Linked DNA regions of Lepisosteus oculatus. The main gene of each other region encodes a partner of the protein of the gene in region 2 in a complex. Links are inferred from orthologs where the notes say so. Each region holds a gene or a part of one and is shown on either strand. Other genes may lie near its edges. The genes, in order: timm17b, timm23a, timm17a and timm21.

The links.
Region 1: timm23a (region 2) and timm17b share a complex: the UniProt entries of both Homo sapiens proteins name them as parts of the TIM23 complex. The link is inferred for Lepisosteus oculatus from reciprocal best matches to the Homo sapiens genes TIMM23 and TIMM17B.
Region 3: timm23a (region 2) and timm17a share a complex: the UniProt entries of both Homo sapiens proteins name them as parts of the TIM23 complex. The link is inferred for Lepisosteus oculatus from reciprocal best matches to the Homo sapiens genes TIMM23 and TIMM17A.
Region 4: timm23a (region 2) and timm21 share a complex: the UniProt entries of both Homo sapiens proteins name them as parts of the TIM23 complex. The link is inferred for Lepisosteus oculatus from reciprocal best matches to the Homo sapiens genes TIMM23 and TIMM21.

Annotation. Positions count from the first base shown.
Region 1 is NC_090697.1:75,085,255-75,092,189, reverse strand, and holds the start of timm17b (mitochondrial import inner membrane translocase subunit Tim17-B), read right to left. Parts: upstream 3,010-6,935; 5' UTR 2,953-3,009; coding exon 2,927-2,952; intron 1,835-2,926; coding exon 1,735-1,834; intron 1,342-1,734; coding exon 1,278-1,341; intron 308-1,277; coding exon 179-307; intron 1-178. Other genes in the region: pqbp1 (polyglutamine-binding protein 1), read left to right, coding at 5,167-5,233, 5,897-6,008, 6,589-6,689. UniProt on the Homo sapiens protein: Essential component of the TIM23 complex, a complex that mediates the translocation of transit peptide-containing proteins across the mitochondrial inner membrane.
Region 2 is NC_090699.1:43,720,901-43,728,388, reverse strand, and holds the start of timm23a (mitochondrial import inner membrane translocase subunit Tim23), read right to left. Parts: upstream 3,016-7,488; 5' UTR 2,919-3,015; exon of another isoform or gene 2,842-2,918; intron 2,705-2,841; 5' UTR 2,699-2,704; coding exon 2,593-2,698; intron 1,009-2,592; coding exon 950-1,008; intron 1-949. Other genes in the region: placenta-specific protein 9-like, read right to left, coding at 5,919-5,953, 6,348-6,474, 6,755-6,846. UniProt on the Homo sapiens protein: Essential component of the TIM23 complex, a complex that mediates the translocation of transit peptide-containing proteins across the mitochondrial inner membrane.
Region 3 is NC_090700.1:30,240,409-30,247,816, forward strand, and holds the start of timm17a (mitochondrial import inner membrane translocase subunit Tim17-A), read right to left. Parts: upstream 3,013-7,408; 5' UTR 2,929-3,012; coding exon 2,903-2,928; intron 778-2,902; coding exon 678-777; intron 1-677. UniProt on the Homo sapiens protein: Essential component of the TIM23 complex, a complex that mediates the translocation of transit peptide-containing proteins across the mitochondrial inner membrane.
Region 4 is NC_090701.1:376,381-384,379, reverse strand, and holds the start of timm21 (mitochondrial import inner membrane translocase subunit Tim21), read right to left. Parts: upstream 3,009-7,999; 5' UTR 2,759-3,008; coding exon 2,473-2,758; intron 1,721-2,472; coding exon 1,658-1,720; intron 1-1,657. UniProt on the Homo sapiens protein: Participates in the translocation of transit peptide-containing proteins across the mitochondrial inner membrane.

The DNA.
Region 1 (6,935 bases), on a different chromosome or scaffold from region 2:
CGGCGAGCTAGCCGACTGCTTTTCCCGGCGAGCTAGCCGACTGCTTTTCCCGGCGAGCTAGCCGACTGCTTTTCCCGGCGAGCTAGCCGACTGCTTTTCCCGGCGAGCTGGCTGACTGGTGCCTGGTGCCTGGTGCCTGGTGTCCCCGTGCTGCTGGCGCGGCGGCGCGGTCACTCACTGCGTGCGGCCAGCACGGCCCCCGTCATGGCGCCGCTGGTGATGGAGTTCCAGGGGTCCTCCTTGCCCCGCAGCTTCACCAGGCTGCAGTCGATCGTGGAGAAGAGCCCGCCCCACACCGCGAAGCTGCCTGGCAAGACACACACACACACACACACACCGCAGGGCGTCACCCCGGAGCGGCTCACTGAGCAGGTCACAGGAAACCTTCAAGTTTCACAGGGGGCTAGCGTATTGCAAGCCAACAGCAGACACTGGCGGGGGAGTCTGCACGTCTTCCTTAACTGGGGGCAAAGGTGCACTGATAGACTGGAGTTTGATATGCTCTGTCATGCTTCACACATGCAAAGAGACAGCACAATAAACCTGCTTCGCTATACTGCAAAAATGCATCTCATTTGTTTGAACTGTCTTTATCGTGATTTGTTTCGCTTTTTTGTATAATGTTTTGCGTTGTGTTGTATTATAGACTTGTGTGAGAATGGCCTACTTTTTGTACCATAGCGTAACTTTAATACTGTGTATTACACTGTGCGTGACCTGAAAAGTACGTACTTTATACAATTGTGCACAAAATCTAGAAAAAAACTGAATATCTTACCAGGATATTCTGGTATCTGAAGGTGAACATCTCACCTTGTAATTTACAAATCAATTAATATTAAATACAGTACTATACAGACCTGAAACCCCATGATCTAAAGTCCTGAATGCACCAGCTCACAACTTGTGGTCTGAGGACCCCTTGTGGACAGTTATGTTACTACAGGCCATAGTAGAGACATAGTGATGTGAGAAACGTCCTGTCTTTAAAGTCTGCAAAACAGCACCAGCTATCTTGATAGGCTACTCAATACACAATGGTCACACACACACGGGCACTGTCGTGCTTGGTTTTTATTAATATATTGAGTTAATGAATAGGAATTTAGAAATTTAAGGTGCATACATCACAAATGTTGACAGCGCGTGTTTATCGTGTCTCTGTGTTGCAGCTCTTAGTGTGCCAGATCTCTGCATATAACAGTGTGTTATAAAAACCAGAAACCAGAAACAGCCTAACCGCAGCTGCGTAAAGCAGACTGAGGGGTGACACTCACCTCCGATTTGGGGCGCCCGGATTCTGACGGCTTTGGCGCTGCCCCTCAGCCTGTGTCGCATGCCCTGCACAGAGAAACGCCTCTCTGTTAGCTGCGGTTTCCCCTCAGAGACAAGACCACACGGTACCGTACTGGGAGTCCCCCGTGGCCTTGATCTCAGAAACACTGTGTATATGCACCGCAAGAACAGTGGAAGCTCTGACTGCAGTGCAGTGCTCGTACAGCACTTTCTCCTCGCCCAGCGGTTATCTGCTGAGGTGCTGGACAAGGACTGGCACGCAGTATGAACAGCAGCGCTCAGAGAAAAGCCAGAACAGGCTGCTGTGGTCCTGGAGAGTTAACGGCAATCCTACCTGACAACCGAAGACAGTTAAATTGAAGCTCTTTCCTGGAGCAGCTGTTAAACAGTTAAATGAGCTCCACCGTGCAGAGCAGGTGAGAGTCTTCCTCTACTCACCACAGGGGCGTTGCGGAAGCCTTTGACGGCCTGAAAGATGCCCCCTCCTATTGCCCCCATCGTGAATGCCCCCCCACAGTCATCCACTATCCTCCACGGACTGCAGAGGGAGACAGAGGGGGCGGAGGGGGGATCAGGGAGTGTTACAGGGAAGAAGAGGGACAGGGAGTGGAAGGCCAGGGGAGAAGAGGAGGAACGTTGGGAAGGAAAAGGGAGATCGGAAAGAGAGGGAGGGCAGGGGAACGAGAGGGAGAAGGGCAGGGAGAGGGAGATGGAGAGGGAGAAGGGCAGAGTCGAAGGACAGATTAAGAGATGGAGGAAAGAAAAGGATGAGAGAAATATGGGGAGAAATAAAAAAGAGCTATTAACAACCCATCCAACCAGTATCCCAAAGTCTCGTAATCCTAGTAGGGGCCATGGAAACTCAGAGCCTATTCCAGAACTATAGGGCTCGGCTACACTACACCCTGGACAGGACACCAGTCCCTCACAGGAGACACACACACCCCGGACAGGACACCAGTCCCTCACAGGAGACACACCCACCCCGGACAGGACACCAGTCCAACACAGGACACACACACAAATCCTGGAAGGAATACTAGTCAATCACAGAAAACCACAACCGACAAAATCAACATATTTTACAGTAAGAACACATCAGCGAAGTGTTTAAAAATAACCAAAAGCAAATCACACTGAAATACACTACTGTCAATCCTGCACTGTGTTTTGCAAACGTACGCACCGCACAATTGTTAATAAAATTAAGATCAATAACGTATACAGCCTATCCGCGTATTCAAAACACAGACGAAACCCTGATACTACAGGTCGAAGAGAAACTGTAAGGAAAACATTTGAAACGCAGCAACTATTACTGTTCACAAAAGGTCGTGAAACACGTAATACGTCAACGATTTTTTAAACAACCTGCGTGAAGAATACTGAAGTTTATTTGAGATTTGACCTGATATTTCCAAGCAGCCAAATCGGTATTATATAGATTAGGACTATCGTTCAGTTACATAACTAAACAAGCTCAACTTGACATGAGTAAAAACAAACATTTCGTGTGGCTAAAAGCCAAATAGACTCGGTATTAAAAAGGTCATAAAACACGAAGCTAAAAACGTTTTTATTATCTCCTGCAGCATTTTAAAAGCTAGCTCTCCACTGGGCTGTACATTACCAGGGCTCTCGAGCGTACTCCTCCATCTTAACCACACAAACACAACACTGGGGGCTGATGACGTACGAAGCCGGCAAGGGCAAGCGAAGAAAGCACGTGTCATGTGACAGGAGTGCACAGCCCCTCATTGTTGAAAATATAGAACGTTTCCACGTCTGGCTCAGTTGTATGCGCAGCAGGCGGCCATATTAGTAGAGCTTGAAATTCAGTCCTCGTTAGGCAAGTAGAAATCGCAGCGCAATGTTCTAGACGCTCCATAGGAAACAATATGGGTCTGTAGAAATTTTATAAACTGAATTTCAGGAGCTGGGATATAAAACATGTACAATATTAATGTACCACTGTAGCGGTGAATGCATTATATATACAACTTGTCTTTGTGTTATTTAGTAGACACATCAAAATCTATAAAACGGATACAGCCCACTATGCAATAGCAGCAATGCGAGGAGACTGCACGAACCTGTCGTTAATATGACAGGTGGTTGATCTGTTTGAGTGGACATCTATCAATATGCTTTATATGATGTAAATGCAGATAATGAGCACAAGAAACCAAATATCACTAACATCTGCAGAAGGCTTCACAGCCGAAACGTTGTTTTCTCTCTTCTCTTTTCAGCATGGAATAAACCTGTTATTTGTTCCTTTAATAACAGAAAGTTTATCAGAAAATGTTTTAACCTTATTACACCAGCTGATGGCTTAAGATTTAAACGGTTTTCAAGAAAAGACTCGTTATGCTATCAAGTATTCTCTGCACTCCACTAAGATGGCGATCCGACTACACAACCTCAATGACGTAATCTTCTCGTGCCTTTTTATCACCTTGGCGACTGAACGTTCGTCACGTGAATGCGTATGCGCGCGCGTCTGTGTGACACGTCACTTACGCGACATTGTCGTCGCTTGCCTGTGGCCGGTGTCTTAATTTGCGGCGAGAAATTGGAGATTACATTATTAAAATCAAGCCTGTGTGAACATCAGTGCGGGTTAGAAGCGCATGTGTTGGATAAGAGGGCACCGCGAGTCGGAAAACGGAGGTGTGCTGTATATTTGAGATAAAAAGGGGGTTGGAGATTCAGAGGTGGTGTCGCTGGTCCGCCTGACTGGTTTGTGCGCGGTACTCAAAGGTAAGCAGGCTGCTGTCGTGAGCGGCACATCCAGATTGTTAGACAGACGCGCCATATAGGTGACGGGCGGACGCGGTCGTCTCCTGTAGCTCTTCCAGGGGCTAGCAGCTAACCGCTCCAGCCGCCTCTCGGAAAGAGCCGCGGCGCTGGGGTCCGGCAATATGGCTGTGCAGTCACTCTCCCACGACCCGCTCTCTGTGCACACGATGCAGAAGTGCTTTCAGTGTTCAAAGTGGGAAAACCACCTCTGAGGCCTTATAGCAGAGTAACCCTTGATGAAATTAGGCAGCTCCTTCGCACAGTGTCTTTCTCTCTGTGTAGAGGTGTACAGTGCTGTGTGCAGACTGTAGTTCTCTCAGTACAGTGTTATATAGTGCAGTGCTGTGTAGTTCTCTCGGTACAGTATTATACAGTACAGGGCTGTGTAGTTCTCTCGGTACAGTATTATACAGTACAGGGCTGTGTAGTTCTCTCGGTACAGTATTATATAGTGCAGTGCTGTAGTTCTCTCAATACAGTATTATACGGTACAGGGCTGTGTAGTTCTCGGTACAGTATTATACAGTACAGGGCTGTGTAGTTCTCGGTACAGTATTATACAGTACAGGGCTGTGTAGTTCTCTCAGTACAGTATTATACAGTACAGGGCTGTGTAGTTCTCTCAGTACAGTATTATATAGTGCAGTGCTGTAGTTCTCTCAGTACAGTATTATACGGTACGGGGCTGTGTAGTTCTCTCGGTACAGTATTATATAGTGCAGTGCTGTGTAGTTCTCTCAATACAGTATTATACGGTACAGGGCTGTGTTCTCTCAGTACAGTATTATATAGTGCAGTGCTGTGTAGTTCTCTCAATACAGTATTATACAGTACAGGGCTGTGTAGTTCTCTCAATACAGTATTATACGGTACAGGGCTGTGTAGTTCTCTCAGTACAGTATTATACGGTACAGGGCTGTGTAGTTCTCTTGGTACAGTATTATACAGTACAGGACTGTGTAGTTCTGGGTACAGTATTATACAGTACAGGGCTGTGTAGTTCTAGGTACAGTATTATACGGTACAGTGCTGTGTGCTGATTGTGTCCTGTATGTCCCAGGATCAAGGATGCCCCTCCCTCCTGCCTTACTGGCTCGTCTGGCCAAGAGAGGAATTCTTAAACAGACGGAGCATGGTGAGTCTCCCAGCCCAGCCTGGATATTAATACAACACAGCCCAGCGCAGCACAACCTGTCTGGATATGAACAAAACCCAACACAGCCCAGCGCAGCACAACCTGCCTGGATATTAACACAACCCAACACAGCCCAGCCTAGATATTAACACAACACAACCCAACCTAGATATTAACACAGCCTGGCGCAGCCCAGCCTGCCTGGATATTAACACAACACAGCCCAGCCCAGCATTGATATTAACACAATACAACACAGCACAGACCAGCGCAGCCCAACACAGCCCAGCCCAGCCCAGCCTGGATATTAACACAGCCCAGCCCAGCCTGGATATTAACACAGCGCTGCAAATTTTGGATCTTATCGCATATCTGAATATGAACATGGCTATACAGTAAAGCGCAGCCCAGCACACAGTTCTTTGTACGATACAGCACAGTCTGCTTTACAGTGCTACTGGCTAGTCCAGGCACGGATGTATAATTATCAGATGCTAATATTTTAATCATTAAAGATTGAAAGCAGAGCCTGTGTAGGCGAGCCCACTCCAAGAACATGCTGCCGGGACAAGCGCGCTGTCTAGGAGCTGACATTCCAGGTGGACAGGTGTGCGGCCAGGTGTTTCCCTGCTTTCTCACGGTCCTCTGTCGTCTTCCCTCCAGAGGCCGAGGAGGAGATCATCGCCGAGGACTACGACGACAACAACGTGGATTACGAGGCCACCCGCGTGGAGAACCTGCCGCCCAGCTGGTACAAGGTGTTCGACCCTGCCTGGTGAGGAGTCCGCCCCTCGTCACCAGTTCACCGCCCTCGCCCAGCCCAGCTGCGGATTGGGCTGGCTAGACGTAAAAACACAACATCCCTTCTGATGTAGAAACCTCTTCTCCGTCACCTTCTCTCTTCCGGACCCCCCGCAGCGGGGATACGCGATCCCAGTCCTCGAGGATCTGGGCTCCTGTGGGATTTAGAGGCTCTTTTAATCGGCAAACTGAAGGAAAACAAAACAGGCCAAATACTTAGTTCAGTCAGTAAAGCAAGGACGTTCCGGCCTGGGGTGAAAACCGGAGGGAGTGGAATTGCCTGCCCCAGCCAGCAGTCTCCATCTCTTACTGCCTCTCGGTCCTTCCCAGAGTCCTCTGCTTCCCTCTCTTCCTCCGCTGTCGGGCCTTCAGCCTGGGGTTCGGGGGCGGGGTCCTGGGTTCAAATCCCAGGCTGCTGTGCCCTTGAGCAAGGCTCTTCACCCACACTGCTCTGGTCAAAGACTCATGGGTACACATGTGGGCCACCTTGGATAAGAGCGTCAGCCCAAGCAGTAGTAATTATCTCTTGAAACGCTTTCTCTGCCGCCCCGCAGCGGTCTGCCGTATTACTGGAATGTGGAAACTGACCTGGTGTCCTGGCTGTCCCCCAACGACCCCAATGCCGTCATCTCCAAAGCGGCCAAGAAGCTCAAAGGTACCGCCGCAGAGCTACAGTCAGACAGCAAGTCGCAGGCCTGCTCTCCCATCGCACACGCGCCGGGGGAGGGGGTTGGGTTTGCTGTCGTGCTTTACTCTTTACAGTGTGGCTTCTTTTCCTCGCTAGTGTCCACTAACCAGCAGAGCTGTGAAAGGAATCGATCGGGTGCTGGCCTGGAGCGCCAGTGGGTCGCCCCCTGCTGGAGGGCGAGGCTGTGGAGAGCCAGCAGTCTCTCATGTCCCC
Region 2 (7,488 bases):
AGTGTCTAATGTGATCATCTAGGTGAAATGTGACCATACCGATTACTAACATGATTCTGAGTGCCTACACCTTTTTCTAAAAAGAATCACAAGCCAATCTTTCAAATACTAGTTACAAAAAAAACATTAGAACATAGGTGTACAACTCCAGTCCTCAAAGGCCAGAATCCAGCATGTTTTCCAGGTCTCTTTAATTAATCTTAGATCAGTCGGATGTTATTACAGTGCCTATAATTACTCTAACTTGATAGCAGGCTGCAAAATACTTTGAAGAGTGTTCAACTGGCCCAGTTACGCTGACAATTAGCTCAATAAGGTAATTAAGAGTAGAGGTGGAAATGAAAACCTCTGGACACTTTGACCCTCCAGGACTGGAATTAAGCAACACTGAACTAAGAGCACCAAGGCAATATGTATGCATTTTGAGGAATATATCCACTTTAGAACCATTCAATACATGGTCATGAAGGATCTAGACGCTATTCTGGCAAGCAGCAGGTGCAAGGTAGGGTACACTCTGGACAGGATGCCAGTCCATCGCAGGGCACACATATAGATACAGACACACAGACCTACTCACAGTAGGGCCAGATTCCCCAGAAGCTACTTACTTAACCTACTAGTATATCTGGACTGTGAGAGGAAACCGGAGCACCTGGAGGAAACCCACATGAACACAAGGCAAACATACAAACTCTACACGGATAGCACCCTGGAATCTGAACCCAGTGCCACAAGAAAACAGTACTAACCACTGCACCACTATGCTGCCTACTCAGGGGCTACACTACTCCAAAATCGTCTAAATAAATCAATGTACTTATGCACACACTCCCACTAGCCTCTCCATCACACCCTCCTAGCATCGATCTTAGTCATTAGCTAAAAGCTAAGCTGAAATATTGGTGTTCTAGCACTGAACTCACTATAACAGTACAGACAAGCTCACCTGCACCAGGTATCGTGGATCCACATTCAGGTAGGGTGAGAGGGGGCTCATTCCTGTCACTGTGAAGAGACAAGTGATCAGTCGGATGTTATTACAGTGCCTATAATTACTCTGACTTGATAAAGCCTTATATCCTAAGTCATAAGCAACAGTTAATATTGGGAAAGTACAGCACAAATACTGGTTCAGGACCAAGAGATCTGGACACATTCTATTTCCTAATGATGAGGTTTGCAGTCTAAAATACTCCTGTCAACAACATGACAAATGCTCAGACTAAATGGATATGCTTACATGTATTCCCTAAGATGTCTGAAAATCCTAATGAAGACAAATTCCATATAAGAGCAGCTTTATCACATTTGATCTTGATTATGTCAGATCTCAGAAGCTCAGCAAGGTTGAGCCTGGTCAGTACAGGCTGGGAGAGCTGTAAGGCAGAGCTGTCCAATCCTCGGCCCGGAGGACTGGAAGGACTGCTTACTGGCCTGGACCAGTTCAACCACAGGTCCTGCTGCTTTAAACAGACCTTAAACACCAGAGAGACAAGCTATTCAGGGCCAGGATAGAACAGCCCCACTTTAGGGGCTAAAACTTTACAGTTTCTGCTATAAATAGTGTTGGCAGATCAGAAGGTGTAATTCTTTCTCCTTACATCACGACTTTGAAACATATGCTACAATATGGATATCACAGAACTGCTTAATGAAGTACTACCTTTTGAAAGAGACATTAACCTGAGATTCTGATGTGTCCATTAAAGTTCTCATGGCACAGTTGATAAAAGTATGTGTGTTCTGTCTGGTGTCCTGAGCAAATTACACAATCCTACCTAAGGTCTAAACCCAGCAGCTATATCACCCTGCAACTCACAACTGACAACCCACTGAAGCTCAGCAGGTGTACGCCTGGCCAGTACCTGGATGGGAGAGCTCCTGGGAAAGCTAATGTTGCTGCTGGAAGAGGTGTTAGTGAGGCCAGTAGGGGGCGCAAACCCTGTGGTCTATGTGGGTCCTACTGCCCTAGTATAGTGAGGGGGACACCATAATGTAAAAAAGCCACCATCCTTTGGATGAATAATAAAACTGGGCCCTTACTCTCCATGGACATTAAAAATCCCAGTGCATTTCTTGAAAGAAGTAGGGGTGTTCCCCTGGCCTTTATCAATCATGGCCTCCTAATAGCTGGCTTTATCCCTCTGTTCTTCCAATGATAGCTGATGTGTGGGGAGCATACTGGCATACTTTAGCTGCCGTTGCATCATCCAGGTGGGAGATACACACTGGTGGTGATGGAGGAGAGACCTCATCGCCTGTAAAATGTTTTGAGTGGTGTGTCCAGAAAAGTGCTATATAAGCGCAAGACTTACTATTAACCAAGGTTACAACTTAAAACCTTAAAAGTGACACCTGACAAACCTTACATGACATCTAGGAGGTGTTGTACGTCAGCGGTGGTGGTTAAGTCTGGGTCCCCTTCTATAGATAAAGCACTTAGGGATATATTGTAATAGACTGTGCCATCTACACACACAGGGAATTATTAATTAGTTATACGATCGTGAACATTTCTTAATAGATGGTCACATCACGAGGATGATCCGTAATAATCCTATCGCTAACAGCAACAGCCGATATACTCACAAGGCACCCCGGCGAGCTCTGTGTTTGAATACTCGGGGGCTCCCCCGCCGAACAGACCCCCGAGCCCGACTTTCGAGCCGCCAGCTCCTGGCGCGCTGTTATCCATGGTGCTCTGGTGACAGGCAGAGAGAGGAGGAGAGGAAATCAAAGGTAAGCGTCACTCGACTGTGATACTATCACTCTAGCAGTATGTATGTCCTTTTCCCCACAACCTCCTGGGAATCAGGGGTAGTGTAAAAAACTTCTAACCTCTGATCATTTCCTTAAAAACGGAAACACATCACCGACGTGATCTGTGTTACGAAATTATCAATAGCTTTCCTTACTGTTTTATAAATGAAGATCCAATATTGCCTTCCTGTCTCCCTTGTCTCTGACCTACAGCGCACACTGCCGTAAAGCAACACAGTCAAAACGTCATCAAACCGCGCCACCGCTGATGAGAAAATAGATGTGTGCCAATGCGTAAATTATCTAGTCTTACAATATATAAGTACACTGCTTGATCTGGTCATAATATCTAGAAGAATGGTCAAAATCTTGTGAAATTTACAAGAAACATTGACACAACCGTTTATTAAAAAGTTGTTTCCAGTACAACTTAAGCCGTGTTGATTTGTTCTGTATGTATATACCCCTGTTTGTTGTATTATCCCTTTTTGTAATAAAAAATAAAAATATATATTTTTTAAAAAGTAGGCCTTTAGGATATTAACGACACTTTTGGAATTTCACGACGGCGTGTGTGAGTGGGGTCGCGGTTTTGTTACGCAAACTGTGGCAGATGTGACCAGGAGTGTGTACTTCCAGAATGGCTCCGTGACGTCAATAGGAAATAATAATAATAATAATAATAATAATAATAATAATAATAATAATAATAATAATAATAATAAATTAATACTTATTTATTACAGGTCAGATTATCTGAAAAGTTGCTTTGAGAGAGTGTGTATGTAAATTCAACACGTTTTATTATTCATCTGCCAATACCGTTTGAAATCTGTTTATGGACACAATATAAAACTAAAAATGTGATCATCTTTGCATCTGAATGAAAGTGTATGCATATATATTTTTTTTTTCGTATTAAACTAACAGAATCAGAGAGAACTACTGCTTTGGATGCTCAACTATCTTTTTTCAATGTATTTTTAGAATTTAAAAAATTATCTTTTGTAAATCTATTTTAATCTCTTTATGGAAATAAATTATGAACGAGAAGGAGAAATGAGGGACAAATGGAAAAAGCAGCTTGTAAACAGCAATCCTAATAAATGATGGGCATTATAAACCTGCCACTCAGATGGGTTAAGACTGTGCTTCAATGCACTAATTCCACCCCCCTTTGCTTTTTCGTAGTTTTTCATACATGGCCAGCAGCCATATCACCCTGCAACTCACAACTGCAGCCCTCTGAAGCTCAGCAGGTGTGATCCTGGTCAGTACCTGGATGGTTGACCACCTGGGAAAGCTAAGGTTGCTGCTAGAAACCAGAAAAGCACTATATAAGTGTAAGCAATTATTATTATTATTTTGTCCCCTGTACATCAGAAGCTACTTGCCACCACCAGGAAACATCTTACCTAAAAGACAGCTAGGTGTTTCTGACCAGCTTAGATCAGTCAGAAGCACCACAGTTGTAATTTATTGCATTATGTCGAAACAACAAGTGACATGCAAGGTATAACAGAATCCACAGCTAGAGTACGGTGATGATGGTGACAAGGTACTTTAAGTGGACTCTGTATTGTTTTTTGTGGTTCCATAAGAACATACCTGAATTTAATTACCAGAAAGGTCTTGTTCATTCAGACCCCCATGTCCTTTCATCAGCCCAGACGAAACCATCATGCAAAGTGATGTTGACTGCAATTAGCAAACTGAAGAGAATTCTCTTGATTATAGTGAAGCTTAGAGAATGGGCTCACTTTCTGTCTCAGTGAAGACAGAAAATCTTGTGGCCTCTGAGCATAGCCAGAAAAGGAAAGCATATCCAAAGTATGCTCATAAACTGGTGACTTGCTATATTTTATTGGACTGCACCACTTCCCTGTTCTCCAACACATGCATTTTAGCAACACAAATTTCTTGATAAAATGTTGGTAGAACCTTTTACTGGGCAAGATCTAGTTAGAGAGAGTAAGAGGGGCAGGGCTCCTGGTGAGGTGGACTCACGAGGTCCAGAGGGATCGGGCGCACAGGCCTGAGACTGAGGAGAATGCCGCTGGAGGCAGGCCAAGGTCCTCCAATCTCTCTCCATCTTCCCTTCTGGCTCTCCCGTAGAATTGAGGAGTCTTTAAGCATTAATTCCAGGTGTCTTGCTCTGGATCCAATGCCGTTATCTTTTTCGGTTGGCGCTGAACCCATAAATTCCAGAATTCTGTCCTTACCACTTTACCACTGACTTATAGTTTGGGTCAGGGGGGCTGGTGAAAACATCGATATATCACTGGACTGTGGCATGCCTCCCAAGACATGTCCCAGGAAATAAATGAAGATGTGTGTTTCACCGTTATCAAACATTGCATTCATTTTCAAACTTATGACTCAGCATGCGGATCAGGGACACTGTGCTGTAGGAGGCGGCTGTCCTTTAGATGAGATGTTATACTGAGGTCCTGAGTACTTGATCATTAAAGAAACAATTGTACTGTTTAAAAGAGTAAAGGTGTTAAAATCCCGGTGTCCTAGCTCATATCCATTTTCTACAGTGTAGCCTCCCTAATGATCTCCTTTAATTCAAACTTTCTTACTACTCCACATGACCTACTGTGAAGTGGTGCTGTTTGTGCATAATGGCTACACAGCCTCACTCTGGTGGGTGCCCAGCTACAGTGATGGATGAAGTGGGTACAAGATTCTCAGGGTCCTTTAGAATTAAAATTTGAATAGAGATGGTTTTTTTTTTCTGGCAGTTTATATGACATCAAAGCACAGAAGGGAATTGTTATTGAAATCAAAATTCACAAGGAAGTTGTGTTATTAAGAAGATTTTTATTACATTTCTTATTCATACATCTATTAATAACAAAACACGTTGCTGTAACTCCTCCAGTTACAATAGTAAAAATAGAAAAAAAATGTAGAGAAAATACCTGTAGCACAAATCCATTGTACTGGAATCTGTAACATTGATTATGGATTAATTGTTGTATTGGCACTGGCCATTAATATCATTAATGTCTGTTGGATGCAACCAGAATCGGCTGCTGTTTCGGTGATATGTTAAAGCCAGGCACTGCACTACCCTGTGTTGTCCAGTCTATGTTGCTGTATGAAGTGTTTTCTTCAGCTGGGATCTGCAGGATGAGAAAATAGGTAGCTCAGCCTGATGACAACAGTAGAGGGAGCCATTGATCTGCATTAGAGAGGAGTGTAACCTGTAATTGTGAGCAAAAAATGACAGACAGAAGATGGACCGATGACAGAGGTGTGTAAGGGCTTCGTTGGAAGATATGGACAAGTGATTACATTGGTATAGAGAGAATAGAGTTAACTTAGTGTTTTATTTCTAATACTGTACATGTGGTACAAATGGTCATTTGATAGGAGTTTTAAGTCTAGTGATAATGTGTTGTGACCCATCCCCTAAATGAAACTTTTGTCAAATTATGTCAATTACAAAAACACACAGAAATTGGAAAAACTGGATAGCTGAGAAAGGGTTTGGATTTCAGTCTTCAGTGTTACAGCCTGCTTCCCTTCAGTTTCCCACGGTTGCTAAAGTGCTGCAGAGAGAGCAGTTTCCTCACCCTTGCTGTCCAGAATGTCGATGACAGGACCTGCAGTATCCAGCAGGGAGCTCCACTCTGGATCCTCAATGGCATCGAGGAGAATGGACACCTCTGCCTCCAGCTTTCCTACTGCATCTTCCACACGCTGAGATGGACACAGGCCATACAAAATAGAGAGCACTGTGAGCAGAAATCTTTCCTTTTGCTATCTTAGACCTGGAATGTGACACTTTGGTGACTTAAGGGAAGACGAATTAAACTAATCAAAACAGGGGTAAGACAGACATATTTTCAGTTACTAGTAACCTGTATCCTTTGAAAAAATATTAAGCAAAGGCGGTGTAACGAGAATGTTATCTTGTGTGGTGTGGCAGTGCTAGAGTCCAGAATGCCGAAGCTCAGGATGAAGGTGTTCAGCCTGTTACCTGCTCCACTGCGTTCAGCTTGTGGTGGAGGGTACGGTGTTCGTGACAGGCACTGACATGGGAGGCTCTGGGCAACAGGCCAGGCCCAGGTCCTGTTGACAAAGCAGAGGGTGGCCGTCAAGATCAATCAGCTTCAATATGAAAATTAGCAGGTCACGAAGGGAAGGCGCAAAAACAAAATGCCACAAGTCATTTGTCTTACAGTGGAAGTCAAATAACGTCCCGTGGTTTGTCTCTTGTGTTTTTTCTAAATGTACTGTAGGTGCCAGACTGGCTCACGAGGTGGATTAAAAATCTGACTCAAACCATCATTCTTATTACAGGCCAGTTCTCGATATACAAGAACTATACATGCACTCCTGAGCAAAACAAAGCTCCTATAGGAATACAGTAAACTGGGAAGTTTGCATGTGAAGGTGGGTGAGAGTCTTGGTCCATTCCCAACCACAGACTTGACATCGTAAATTAATATTAAAAATAAGTATATAGTTGTACTAAGTGTCATTTTTTAACTGTTTCAGTTCATGAAAAACGTGAAGGCAGGACTGTTGTTAGTGGTGTGTGGTGAGAGGTGTGGAAAATGCTTGAAAAATGTGCCCATTAGGCATACAAGCATTGTGAGATGAGCAGTGCCTGGAAGAACAGTCATAAAAAGATTTTCCAGCTGTCTGTGTATCAACCAGTATATCCTATTCATCCCTTCATGTGTGCCTGTACTGGCTCCGACACTCTGA
Region 3 (7,408 bases), on a different chromosome or scaffold from region 2:
AGAGGAAAGGCTAGAAGGAAAGTCACACTCTTAGTTTAAATACACAGGGGGCAACAAAAGCACTGACAGGACAAGCAGAGCCAGGCTAGGTCAATGGTCCAAAAGAGATGGGCAAAGCAGGGAAATATTTTGAGAAAAACATCAGTTCCGGTGATCAATGTGATGTCAATATGGAGTAATTATAGCAATTTAAAAAATGTGAAATTTTAGAAACCTTAAAAACTGAATGAATTACTTTTTTATAGGTAACTACCCCCCAAAACTGCAAAGGACAGCAGAGTTGATGTATAGATTCTCTCTCCTGAGAACCACTTTTTTTTCTGGTTTTCATTCCATCACGATGGTGGAACTGAAGAAACGGAGATCCGCCCGGGTAATTTATTCAGCTTCCTGGTCTTAAGACGGGGCCCTCTCCAGTCCTGGTCTTCATTCTGACTGAGCTCTGCATGGACCTGAAATCAGCCTCATAATTCGCTTTTCGTTATGTCAGCTACAAAAAGCTGAACATTTCAAGTTACTTAAAACTAGTTAAGAGCTGAAGACAAGAGCTTTGAAAAGGACCTGATTATTTGTCCCATTAAATAAGTTCGGCTGGAATGAAAGAAGCAGGCTGGCCAGCAAGACAGGGCTGTGAGACTCCAGGCCCTGCGATAGAGGAGTAGTGTCCCAGTACTTACAGCAGGTGAATTTCTAAAGCCCTTGACTGCCTGGAATATTCCTCCTCCAATGGCTCCCATGGTGAAGGCACCCCCACAGTCATCCACGATCCTCCAGGGGCTGCAGAAATAAAGCCATCAATAACTTTCTAATGACCTGCCGGCACAATCGATTTGACATTTTCCTGCTCCACCGATCATGGAGAGAGAGAGAAGCAGTTCTGCCCCAGGATGTGTCCCACTGGCCCCTCTGCCTCAGCCTGCATTCTGAAGGTACTGAAATACAGAACCAGTGCACAGGAGCTGCAGTCTCCCTTCTGATGTGCACCCTTTAACAGATAAATATATCAAATAAGCAAGAAAAACTTAATACATCTGTCTAAGCCAAGAAAAACATTCTCAAACATACTTATACTCTGTACAAGACTCTGTCTTATACTCGATATATTTATACTCTGCTACTTTTCTCTGCTGTTAAGAACGCAAGCTTCTAAGAGCACTGAGCATAAAGGTGCAGGGAAGTGATGAGAGATTCCACCTGCAATACACCCTCCTTGCCAGCAGAGGCTGTTGATTACAGACCAAAAAAGAGTTACCTAACTCATCCATCAAATATCCAACTGTATTATACAACTCAGGGTTGCACGCACACACACACACCCTCACCTAGGGCCAGTTCTTCCCAGAAACGAATTAACCTACCAGTATGTTTTTAGACTGCAGGAGGAAACCAGAGCATCTGGAGAAAACACAGGGAGAACATACAAACTCCACACAGACAGCAACCCAGGTCCCGAATTGAACCCAGACCCCAGTGCAGTGAGGCAGCAATGCTGATCACTATGGCACCCTGCCGCCCGCTACCTCACCTTTTTCTCTTTAATTCGCGCAGATTAAACTAGTTCAAGTCACGTGGGAAAGTGAAGGAAACAAAACGCTGTGTACAATATCGCTAGACAAGGTTGAACTACCCTTGTGTTCTCATCAAGGCGTCAGATCACACAGCGCAACCGAGCACGCACCCTTGAACCGCACCCTGGCCTCTGGTGGAAGAGTTCAGGTTTCTCAACAGGGCTGCGCAGTCTTGAGTCTGGCGGACAAAGCACTTTAAATGAAGCCCTTTCCTCTCTACTATATTGTTAGAGAGCGGTGGGCCGCTCATACCCAATTCTGGATAGCACCCATCCAGCAGGTCTTACAAGTCATGTATTGTCTAAATACCCCTCCATTTTCTAACCACTCTGCCACTGCAGGGTCACAAGGGAGCTGGAGTATATCCTGGCATGCAATGGGTATACACTGGACAGTCCATCACAGAGCACACACACCAGCATATCTTTGGACTGTGGGAGCCAACCAGGAGCACCTGGAGGAAACCAGTTTAAATTTTCATCACTGAAAGAGAAGGTTTGCTCAATAATGTTTAGAGAGCATTTGAAATGAAAATCTTAACAGCCTGTAGGTCTCACGCACATCACACAGCCCGGCTGACTTCAGTACAGTCAATAACCATGCTGATCGAAACCCACACATTCCACGTCTTTACGCTCTGATGATTTAAGGATGACCCAGAAAACCTGCTTGGATGTCACTCCAGGACCAGGGCTGGTCACTGCTGTAATAACGACAAGCACCAGAGGCTGCAATGCAATCGCACGAGTGTATGCCTGTGACCCACACACCAGGCTCTCATAACGTATCACCGGCATGGGATCAGTATTACACAACACCGGTGCGTGATCAACAGCACTCTGCCACATCAAAGGTACACACAGCTGCAATCAACGACCCCACCATGCCTTCTGAACTCATTTTAAAGCGTCATTCTAGTCGATTCCAACAATGTGCTAAAGACACAGGCTTCCCTCACTGGTTACGTCACCAGGAGGCAGGAAACACAAGGAAAATTGTCTCGTCTTGTAATATGAACTAAGAATTCAGGTCGTAAGAGACTACCGTGGATACAGTCTTACATTCTATTGAGCCCACACAGAATATACACAGGAATCGCGACTTCTGTAAAACAAAAATCGGTTACACAAGGTCACCCGGCTCGGTCTGTGATGCCAAGGACACCGACCGGCTCTGCAGAGAAAAAGTGTGTGACACACCGGCCACTGCAGCGTTAGCGACCCTTCCTCACAGCGCCGAAGAAAAATTCCCATATGTTAGCGGGGTTTTAAGCTCTCGTTGTGTCAAACAAACACCATTTGTAATGTCACACTATACTAAAAATAATGACTTACCATGGTTCACGTGCGTACTCCTCCATCTTCTTCTCGGGGTCTCGCTCGGCGGAAAAAGTAGGGCGGAGTCCTGACGTCACAGGAAGTGTAAGCTCTCAGAAACTGGCGCGACTTAAAGGGCTAGTCCTTCTCTTACTGTGTGTAAATGTAAAGTTAATTTTCGCCATGCGTAACTGGTAGGACTGATAGGAGCATTGCATTGCCCTGGGTTCAATTCCGGACCTGATTTAAGTTGCATGTCTGTGGACTATGGGTGGAAATCAGAGGAAAACCTGTGTGGCTATGGGTGGCTAATCTCCGCAGAGAAGGTGTCCAAGCCGGAACTGAATTGAGTTGTGGCAGCAGGACTAAAGGCCACTGTGCCGACCACTCAGCGCCTAGTAGTGGACAACGTCAACTTAAAGTGTCACTGCTACTATTTTGATTTTCAATTTAAAGTTACAGTCTGTGTAAACAAAATACTTTTTTTTTGTTTTTTTACCTTAAAACTCTGAAAGCATCAATTATTAAGCCGCTTGCCTTTCTGCACCAGTTCCATTTCATTGTAGGATTATTGCAGGACCGTTTCTTAATTATGTTGGTTGTTAATTACTTAATTGATACTGCTGACCGAGACCACAAAACATGTTCAAGACTGGTTCAGGAAAAAAGGATCTGTATTCAAAACAACGTCAGACGTCATTCAGACTACATCGTTCTGAACTGTTACATAGGAAACAAGGCAAGGGTGTCATTTGCTACAGATGATAAGGCACAGGTCCTTCATTGGACCTGAGGGACATTCCTGTACAAGAATGTGTCACCTCTGTACCCTTCATACCCACCCCCAGTCCTCTGCTGCTCTGGTAGCAGGTGAATCCTCCCATCATCAACGAAGAGGGAAAGCTGGGAATGAGAAAGTCCCATTCCAGGTCCTTGATTTCTTTGGAAAGGATTTGTAAGGAAAAGTCTCCTCACTTCCTCCCTCTCGTTCCTTCCTCAAGCCTCCAGCATGGGACTTTATCTGCAAAGGATTGTGGGAGTCTGGATCAAGACCTAAACAGGGGTACCTGACGTGTTTGGGCCAAGTTATCGAAGCTGATGTCCTGGTGTCCTTCAGAGAATGACTGAATGAGGCTCTCAGATCTTTTAGCCATTACTAACTGGACACATTCCATGAGCTGAATGGGCATCGCTGGTTTCTAACCCTTTCTTACAGTGGTTATGTGACTTCATAAATATGTGTGGAATTTGTGTGACTGATTTGTTATTTCACAAAGGCTATCAGGAATATGAATCCCACAGGATTGTGAGAGCCTAAGACAGAAAAACAAACCAAGCCCTGTATCCTGAATTCCTCAGACATGAAAGACTTGAAATGGAATCCTAGATTTACACCATATCTTGGTCATTTGTTCCTCACTCCTACCTCCCTTTGCGTATAGAAGCATTTTTATTCTTTCTCAGTCTTGTGTCTATTTCTCCTTGGTTTCCACTTTGTTCTGCCAGATTCTATGCCTTGTACACAAAACTGGTTCACTAAAGTTCTCTGATGACAAAAATGCATCCCTTTCACGTGTGAGACGAAGGAGGTTTCTCCGTCAGACCCAAGCAGTTAAAAATTGGATCTGTCTCAGACGTTCACCTAGACGGTCGTCTGTTCACAGACGTTCGAACAAGCATGACCAAATCTACGTGTATGAGCTTTGTCCAGAGATGCTACGTAGTCTGAAGTGGGATAATAATGAGACTAAACACTCAGACAAGAAACGGACAAGGACTTTGGGACTGATGGTAAATAAATATTTATGTTAGTTTTGTGATAGAAGGAAATATTTACATAAGCTGTTTTTTTTTTTACTCTATGTCTGAGCGGAGAGCTTTTAAAGAGCGTCAGACAAGCTCTTGGCCTTTCTCCCACTCTTAGGAATGGTAATGGAATGAGCCTCAGACTGTGTTTCCATTGAAAAATGACCAAATATAGGCATTTCATTGGTGCTGGGGGCTGTGAGTTTGTGTATGCGTTTGTGGTGGACAGGCTGGGAGGCAACTGAAACATAACTGCCGAGCTTTCATTCAGTACATCTCTCAATCATTGCTGGGGAAGAATCTACTCCTGGAAGAACATGGATAGAGTCTCAGAGAGAGGGATGGAGTTTTCTTTTGTGCCAGAGTACTCTGGATGCTGTCCTGTGATTTCCCAACTTGTTCTGGCATGATGAGGGAAGTCCACAGCTTTGAGGGACACTGTTGGATAACAAGAAGCGGAGGAACAATCTCAAACCTATTGTGTTACCTCTGCCACCAGCCTGATGAGATGTCAGCGACGGCCTCTTTATGTATGTTTAGGAAGTAAAACCTTAATATGCTTGTTGTGGAGAAGTGTCTCAGACTCACCTCCTGGAGGGCCTGTTGTCTTCGGGTTCTTGTTCCAACCTGAGCAGTCAGACTATTGACCTTCTTATTTTCTAAATTAGACACAGACAGGATTTTCTCTTGAGGTCTTTTACAGTTCATTGCACAAGGCACTCAATTAAAGGTGCCGCTGCCTATTAATCACCTGGTTGGAGTGTTACAATTATACAGTCAATTATGTAGTTTGACCAACTATGTATTGTATGTTGGCATCAAAACCACAAGACACAGGGCCCCCCAGGAACTGCGGCTGAGAGCCCCGTGCTTGAGCTTCCCTTCTGTTCGTTCGTAATCAGTCTGAAAAGGAGAAGGAGCTTAGCAATGAGAAACCTAAGCACAGTATGTGAAAATATGTTACAGAAACTACCTCAAAGTACCATAGAAAATCAGAGAGATACAGTGGAATAGACATGAAACATATTTCACAGAAAACGTAACTCGTGTAACCTACTTACTGTGACTGATTTTTTTTTAAGGTGTGTTTTATTCTGGTTGTCACTTTTGAGAAATATTCACGCTAATCATTTATCCATCGGTCCATGGCCTTAAAGGCCTCTCATACTGTATCACAAACTGTAAAACATGTTTGTTGGCATTTATCACAATAAAAGAGTTTTAGGGCTTAATAAAGCCACCTGATGACTACAAGGTAGATGAGTCATTGTTTTCCAGAAAGTTACTTTTAATTCACATCTAGTCTAGTAAAAGTGTGAGCCTGATTTGAGTAAGGAAATTTGTTCTGGCTCCATGCCTACCTTAAAACAATCAACCCTGATATTTAGATATCTCATCACTGTAGCATTGTAGTGGGACTAAATACATGATGTTCAAAGGCTGTAAGTTATAACTCTCAGTTTTATTGTGATCAAAAGTTGTACTGTTTACGTACAATTTTAAAACACATTGCTCTCAAAAGGTGCATACAATTGCCTTCTGTACTATTCCTTGCACTTAAGGCACTGTAACCTGAAATACTGTAAGACAATTTCTTTAGATGTCAAGTGCAGTATATTTACATGATAGTAAACATTGGTATTATTAATATTGTAGTACTGTCAGTTTTCCCTTTACATCAACATACAGGTATAGTGTTTTTACACACTCTTAAGTACAGACACTTACCGTTAATCTAGTCAGCTCATATTAAAATTAGCATTTCCAATATAACGTCGTAAAAGAGTTTATGGGCCATACGCTTTCAAACATACATATTTACGATACACAGGAGACACATTATAACATGAGCAACGTTTTAGAAAGTTACCGTAATTGGGTGTATATCACGATAAAACGTATTAGTAACGTATCTGAACGTAACTACAGTTTTATTTTTCACTTTAAATCCATATGATGCGTTTAACAGTTGAACATCTGGAAGCTGTAGAAAAATAAATATTTACAAAGCTGTGTGAACATCATTCTTCTCAAAAACTCTTCGATACATACGAGAACTTAAGACCTGTAAAACTCTTTCATTGAACTACACATCGCCTAATTTATCATTTCAAGAATTATCTTCTCCTTTGTAAAGGTATGGACGACTCTTTTTTTCCTCTTATAAAAAACGCCTTGGGTGCGTTTGAGAACTTTATCCCCAGGCTTCCATTTAGCTAAGGCATGACATAATGTCCTTCTGTTCAATCGTATGGTCTTCTACGTAAATAGAGCGACATTAGCTGTTGGAACTTGTTTTTTTAGCTGTTGGAACTTGATCGGTGACCCAAGACACGTCATCTTACGTCACTATCGAGGGAAAAGTCGTCAGAATTTTGAAGATGGAGAATGAATTGTTACGGAAAGTAGTATAATAATTTAAATATTCAAGACGTATAGGCATGTATAAAACGTATGCTATGGTTGAATGTTTTCCTTTAGAAAACATACAATAACGTACATGTACAGTATCTGCTTACATATATGCGAACAATGTAATATCTAACTTAATGGTTTCCTTCCTAATTCTGAGCAACGCAAAATAGGCCAGTTAATTATTAAGTGGCTTTTTCTCGTGCTGAAAGCACAGAATCCTTTCGAATATCCACTTGACTGGTTACAATTCGATGTTAATTTTCGTCCCTTTATTTCGGTTTTATCACAAGCGTTTTAAATTAA
Region 4 (7,999 bases), on a different chromosome or scaffold from region 2:
GTCAATGAGGGCTAATCAAAACAATCCAATGTGCTCTGAGGCTTCAAATGTATAGTAGGTTATAAATAAAAGTGGTTGCAGTTTTTATATTGTGGCTACATAATACAAACAACAATAGATGAATGAGAAATTGAACAGAAATGATTTTTTAAACTGAACTCATAGGACTGTAGAATAATTGAAAAAGCATACGTATTAAATACTGAAGAAAAAGAAAATCAACCGATTTGTAATTAAGACAAAGACACACAGTCATGCAGAAATTATGGCTACCAACTCCTCCACCTAATACAGATTCAGAAAGCTTTTTTCCCCCCAAAAGAACAGAATGAAGACATGGCATCTTAATTCACTATTTGCAAAAATGAAATTCAATAGCCCTCATTCATTTAGTAAAAACAATGCATGCAAATGTGTTCAGCATGTTAAAGCAATACAATGGATGAATTTATCCATGATCCCAAACTCATGATTGTGCATAAAAGCAGTTGATATGTTTCAGCTCCCATCCATAATGACCATGATGTAGTTTTCAGTGCATTAACCTCAAACACTGAGCTGCCAGCAACACATTAACATTCTGCAGAGTTAAAAGGTGAACTGACAGATAATTAGGTAATTAATAATAGCTTGTTATACCTCAGGAAAGCCTTCCTTTGTTTACATGGTTGTCATCTGCATTTGTACTTGCAATGTTCACTGATAAATTGCACTGAGTTAATAATCCAAAGACATTAATGAAAACTAATGAAAAACTGACTGGATCGTTTTCTACATTAAGACTGATGAAAAGATCATAACATCAAACATAAATACAGTTCTAGAAAATGGCTTGTAACATCCATCATCTCCAGGCTGTTTTAAAATGGACTGAAGAAGTGCAAGGTTGTTCTTTTTTATCCAGGTACCATAAAACACATACTCCTACTAATTTGGGATTTTTGGAAGTAAACTGTTGAATATGTAAGTAAAACAAGCAAATCTGATTAAATCTTTAAAAAGTGACCCACCAGTGTCTGTGTTCAAATACTGGGTTTTTGCGAATCTTTACTTTGATAAAAGACAAAGTAATGTTTCACCTCAGTTCACACCTCGCTGTCTGACTTCTTATCTCTTTGGTCTATCGAATTGCATTCATCCACCATGCAGTGGACAACAGCCCCGGATCTGTGTTTTGACATATTTTTAAATCTTACACAGTTTTAGGATATGCAGTTCAATCTGTTTTAAGAGGACGTGCTCCAGCGTTGTTCTTGCACAAACATTGTTCCTGCTTACAGACACAGTTCACCCACACAAAGGCCAATGAAACACTGCCCCCCCCACTCCTTTGGGATAGAATTGCCATCACAGGCTCCAATGTGGATCTCATGACTGGGTGAGCGCCTGGCTGAAGACAATACAGGCAAGTGCAGGGTTTTGCATAACTTCTGTAACCTTTCTTATGTTTTCACGCTCTTGGTGTTTCTGTGGATTGCATATGGTACAGGTACATTATAGCATTCTAATTTGAAACTGATTTCCATATGTGAAAATATAATAAATCTTAGATGCACATAACTGATGTTAAATTGATGAAACAATAAAAACACACCCGTTTTCCGTAATGAATGTGTATTAACAGGAAGCTCCTGTCACCTTGGTCACGAGAACTTACCTGTTACTCCAATCCCAACAAGCACCACAATTAGATACGTGAAATCCTTCCCAGCTTTCTTGACTGCAAGGAGGAGAAAAGAGAGCACATTACTGTTTCTCTTTTTAAAAATACTTGCCAGTCTAAACAGTCTGGGAACACTTTTATTATTATTAGAGTGAGCCCTTTAAACAGAGCAACGCGGCACTTGTGCCCAATTTTACAGACTTATTTTACTTCAGCAGTCTGAGTGCAGCCCCGTGCTCGGGAACACAGCAGCAGTGCCCCTGGGATTTGAACTCCCAACCTCCCCGTCTTAACCTAACCACCACTCTACTCTGCTGCCCAGCAACACTTATACACACTTGTTTCAGAATTTCACTCTAACCCACTTTCCAAAGGAGCATTCTTGCAAACACAGTTCATTTGTCCACCAAGAACAAAGACCTACCAGAAACCTTTTAAGAAAGGATACAAACGAGATGGGGACATTCAGTCCACCTACAGTAGCTAGTTTGGTAGCTTTTACCCAGCTGTTTCTTGAACTACACCAGGATATTGGCAAGGTAGCTTGTTCCACACTCGCACAGCCCTTTGAGTAAACTTTTAAACGCAGTTCCAAGCAGTTTCCATTTTTGTCCTCTTGCTATTGTTTCACTCTTAAATCCACTGGCTTGACACTGTCATTGCTTTTGGACAGCGAGGGAAACTGGTATCACTGTCTTCCTGCCTACACCAATGAATTACCGGGAGGCCACCCAGCTCCACCGTGAGTACCTTGTCCCAGATAGCGTCCAGGGCAAATCGCGACCTCGGCTCCCGGGCCAGTCCCTCACCTTTCTGGGCTGTGGACAGTGTCGAAGTGTCGCCTCGGCGCCCCTGCGCGGGTAACTGCCCTGAACTTTCATGCTTCCCCCTTCTGAGCCCGGGATCGGCCAGGACGCCCAGTTTGGGGACGTGCAGGGCGCTGCGGAGCCCGGCCGCACAGACGGACCGCACGGCAGCTGTGGGCGAGGCGCGCTGCAAGCTCCCGCCGTCCCTGTGCAACTGTCGGTAGCATCGAAAGCCGCAGCACCGGGCTGACCTCACCTGCTGGGACTTCAGTATCAAATAAAACAGCATGTTGCCCCTTCGAAATAAAACTGTCACAGTTGTAAGTATGCTAATAAAAAGCGACAACAACAAAAAATGGGCTTTGGGCTGACCGAACGCAATGTCAAAAACAATACACCTAAACTTTGCAAAATAAAAAAAATCCGCGTGTATTTGACTGATAGTAACTTTAATTAAGAAGTCTTCGGTAGGTAGTCCACCAAGAACCTCGCCATTGCAGAGTAACGCTATGCAGCTGTGGGATTGTAGGAGTTGGAGTTTTCGCGTAAGGCAAGTTGAGCGGTATCAGCGAGGCACTCGTGAGAGGCAAACTACAATTTCCAGCATGCACTGCGCGCACCGTTTCAAGCCAGCGAGCCTGTTGATCGGGGCTCGATTAGTGATGCTCATCGTGTTGCAAGATTGTCGCCTAATACACGCGAGTTGCTATGCTACTTAATTTTAATTTAATTTGTATCATAAAATAAATCAGAACCATATGAACTTGGTTAACTATAATGTGTCAATATGAAATTATATTGTTGAAATTGAAAATTATCCTTTGTTATAAGGAATTCGATTTTGATATACATACATAATAACGTTTTTTTTAAAATTTTAGTGTTAAGTATTTATATTGCTAAGGACACGTTCCTTTTATATATATTTATAGTTGTAACGCATACGGCCTCCATTGCTCGTGAGAGCCGGCTGACCAGCGCGGTGACGTCACCGCCCTTCCCTGTGAATAGCAGGGACCGCAGCCGCCGGGCTGACGGGAGATTCCCCTTAGGCTCAAGAGGCTGGGTCCCTGCTGAGTGACGCTGGAGGCCCGGGTTCGAGTCCCCGAAGGTGGGGGGCCGACGTGAACGCCGTAGCGTTACAATACAAATGTAGTCCTGACCGGAGCTGTGATTTCATTGGTTTAAGCCCGAAAGAACAGAAACCCGCTTACAGTAAAATGATCACAAAAAATGTCACAACAATATTAGACAAGACAACTGAAAATCTGATACTAGATGTAGAGATTACGATAAATTAAATGTAGAACAACTGGCCAAAGTCTCTTGGATTTATGACCATGGAGAAAACGTGATTTAATTCAGAGATGGTTGATCGACAAAGCTGTCTGTAATTGCATATTAAAAACAATAATATTGTAGCGCAGTGGTTCTCAAACTGTGGTACGCGTACCGGCAGTGGTACGTGGCGTGCCGCCAAGTGGTACGCCAAATGACCCTGGAACTGTGTTGTGTGCGCTGAAAAAATCGGGACGGATTTTCATATTTTGTATTTTTATACGTGTCGAATACGCAGCCTAGGTGCTACGATACAGTGCGCGCTAATACTTCAGTGGACACAAGAGATACTCTGTAATTCTATACCACTCTATAGGAATGCGTGCTACGGACGCAAGTGACCAATTGTATTTAAAAAAAGCTACTGTATCTCCAGCAAATAGGGAGAAATGAGAATGTGCGTGATTTTGGAACAATGCCAACGTTGTAAACACAGGAATGCATAGAAATGCGTTCTACGAACGCTGGTAATCTTGTGAGCACAGAAAGGCGTGAAAAATAACAGAAAATTATTTTAAAATTGTTCTAAGTTAATTTGACAAAAATACACCGAGCGTCTCTGTGTTTCTCTCCCATGCGCATGAAATAAATACTTAAAATAAACACTGAAATAAAAACGGAAACGTGGAAAAATGCACGCTTGCGGATTGCTAAAGCAGGTAAGCCCCACACTATTAGGTGTGGAGAAAAAGCTGCTGAACAGATCGACCTGCTGCCTCCCCCCCGAAAGACACAGTCATTCATAGAATTATTGAAATGAAATATGATATCAAAAGTACGCTGACAGCGCGAGTTAAGATGAGCAGATGTTTTTCACTGCAATTAGATGAGTCTGTAGTCGATTTGGCCAATTTGCTCGTTTACGTTAGATAGGAGTTTGAGGGTACGTCCCGTGAGGACTTTCTGTTCTGTAAGCCGCTACCAACAGGAACTACAGGAGAGCACGTATTTCAGCTTTCGAATGAATTTATCGCAGAGAATGGCATCGACTGGATAAAATGTGTCGGAGTTTGTACAGACGGTGCTAGAGCAATGACAAGCCGACACAGCGGTGTAGTTGAACGAATTAGAGAGGTTGCTCCAGAAATTAATGGTTTCATTGCAACATCCACCGCGAGACCTTTGCCGTCAAGAAAATGCCTGACGATTTAAAATCTGTTAAGACTGTTGTGAATTGTATCAAGGCTCGAAAAATTAATTCACATCTGCTTTGCTCAACTAAACAGGCTCACCCCTCTAAACAGGTGCTTTTTTATTTTTATGTGTTGTTTTTTTTCTGTAAAACACTTTGAGAAGCCACATTTTAATATATCAAACAAAGTTTATTATTATAATATTTATTATATGTATGTGTGAGTGTGTGTGCACATGCGCTCATGTTGGTCATTGATAGTTTCTGGGGTTTCTATGAGATGATGACTTGTAGGTGGTACTTGGATGCTTTGGTTGGATTAGGGGTGGTACTTGGTCCAAAAAGTTTGAGAACCACTGTTGTAGCGCATTCGCCTGGCGCTGCAGCCGAAGAGCGCCCGGCTGGGGTGCGCGGCGAGAGGCAGGACGGGAGTAGTAGTGGTCGGGGGGGACTAGTAAAGCCGCTGACCAGTGCAGCTGACCCACTGTACTGGCGTACATTCTGGGGAGATCACTCGGATTCTTGTAAATAGTTCCCTGGTTTCGCACCAGGTACGAAATACCTGCCACCCTATACCGGTGTAGGTACCCGAGTAGACCCCAGTGTGTTGCTCTTTCTCGATTCTCTCAGGCGCTTGCTCGTTTTTTTCCAGAGTCAGTCTTCTGCTCTGCTGGGGCGCGGGCGCAGGTGTGCTGTGATTGGGTGTACCGAAGTTTAATAAAAGCGCTGTTTTCTTAACTCAACGAGTGTCCGAGTCACCGAGTACGTCCTCGCCGAGCCCGAAACTTTTAATATATATATATATGCTTTTCTCTGTATATATGATGGAACAGTATTTTTTTTCTTTGTAGTAAATTAATGCTGCTCATGTATGACTGACGTTATGATGCACAAAGGTGGTTATAATGCAGAGGAAATAAATTCAATGGACTCGAAATCGGTGCACACTGCGTCGGAAAGGCTGTAAAGGTGGCGCTATGTTAATAATGATTCCGGAGCGCATCGCTTGTTCTGCGGGACCGTGGTGTCGTGCAGTTTTAATTTCTCCCTGGACTTCTAATGATCTTTCTTGAATGAATTGCTGACTTAATTGTTCTAGATTTGAAGGTCTCTGTGTAACGCTGCTCAGTGTGCTGAAAGTGTTACAGACGTGACCTCAGCCCCGTCTGAAATCTCTCTCTGTGACAGGGGCCCGGGCAAGTGAGTGAGGCGGCTTTGTGCCGTTTCCCTCACACTCACACAAAGTACAGGAAAACCATTAACACACTTTGTTGAGCAGATTCTTTAAAGAAATGCCAGGTTTTTACTTCATGGAACCACACACGGATCTAGGGAATCTACCAGTCTAGAGGCAGTATTGTTATTTGCCTGGTACTGGAAGTAAAGAACTAGGAAGTAGTTGCAATTGCAGTTCTAGTGTACCAACAAATTGGAAAGAGCTACTGCTGGTAAATGTGTATTTTTTTCTGCTGCCATTCACACCCAGGCGCTTGTAAGTAAATGGGTTACATGGTGGCATGCCTGTCAGTGATAACAGCAATGGTTTATCAGCAACCTGGGTATTACTTGAAGTTCATTAACCCATCTGGGACTAAACAGTTAAAGCGTAATTAAAAAAAACCCTATTTGTAAATAAACACCTAGTATGGAAAGTACAGGGGGCAATGCACACTATGGGATGGTATATAGAGTTATAGAAAGACAGTATGATTGTGTAATCATGGATCTGATACCTAGCAGAATAATTAATTAATAAATAATCTCACTTTATACAAAACCATGTTTTTTGGATCTTCTGGAATTACTATGTACAAGTTAAAAAGATTCTGCACAAACGGGTGTTCTGCAGAAATGTCCTCTCCCTTCTGGAAAGGAAATGAGATGTTTGGTGGCAATCGACTACAGATCAAAATGTTGCTATGCTGGCAGCCCCCCCTGCACAGACCTGAGTGAGTCTGTCACACAATGTCAGCAGTGCACCCCCGAAGACTGCTGTCAGATCAGCCCTAGTCACCCCTGTATACTCCTGTGTATAATCAGCATGTACAGAAGGTGCTCATTGCTGTCTTCTCTTTACCTCTCCTGTTAAATTTACTGTCTCAATCAGATCAGGGACTGAACAGGCCAAGACACCTATTCCAGAACCTGTTGACTTTATTTCTGGATTAAGACACCTACAGTACAGCAGCTGCAGTCCAACTGTGTGTTAATGGCCATTATCACCAGTGAATCGCTTTCCTGAGGGTATTGCATGATAGTGAAGATTGAAATGGTTACATCTCTAAACTACTCAAGACCTCCTTGCTGTTGCCACACGTGCAGTGCAGTATGTGTTTCCCTGCATGTTCTGATATTCTGATGGGTTAAGGCTGTTCCTATTTTAACATTGTTTCATATGTTACACTCTTCTCTTCTGCTGCTTTAACGAAGCTGAGAGCTGGCTGGGAAAAATTAGTCTGGATATTTTTTTTTCTCTTTTTTCCCTATTCGATCTCTGCTATTTGATTTGGCATAGCTACCAGTTTAGTTGTTTCTGTTAATTTAATTCTACTCCCTGATGTGCAAAACACAGACTTTAATTTCAGTTTCTTTCACAGAATGCCATTACTTGTGAAGGGTAGTTATGGCAACATGAACATGCCACTGTGTCTGCTCTGCCAGCAGTCCTGGAAATTCACCTTGTTCCCTCCAGCTCTGCCTTCTTTCAGGTTCCTCGTTCAAAGACCCAGCAGTCGATTACACAGCCAGGTTGCTGGCTGGTGTCATATCTTCACATATCACTTGTCTCAGGTTTTAAACAGATCACATATTTTAGACCATCTAAACAATGCAGTATGATCTGTACTTGGGATTAGAAACCAGGACAGAGAGAAGAAGGAGTTTAGGTTTTAACATCTACAGCCTGAGATAAAACAAGACAGAGCCAAAGAAGTAATGCAGCCATACCTGACATTCAATAATACTCCTTAAGCAAAACTTTTATAAAGTCATTAAATATGTTTAATTTCCTGGCCAAAATAAACAGAGTATTGAAACATTCAGTATATGTGTAATGGTCAG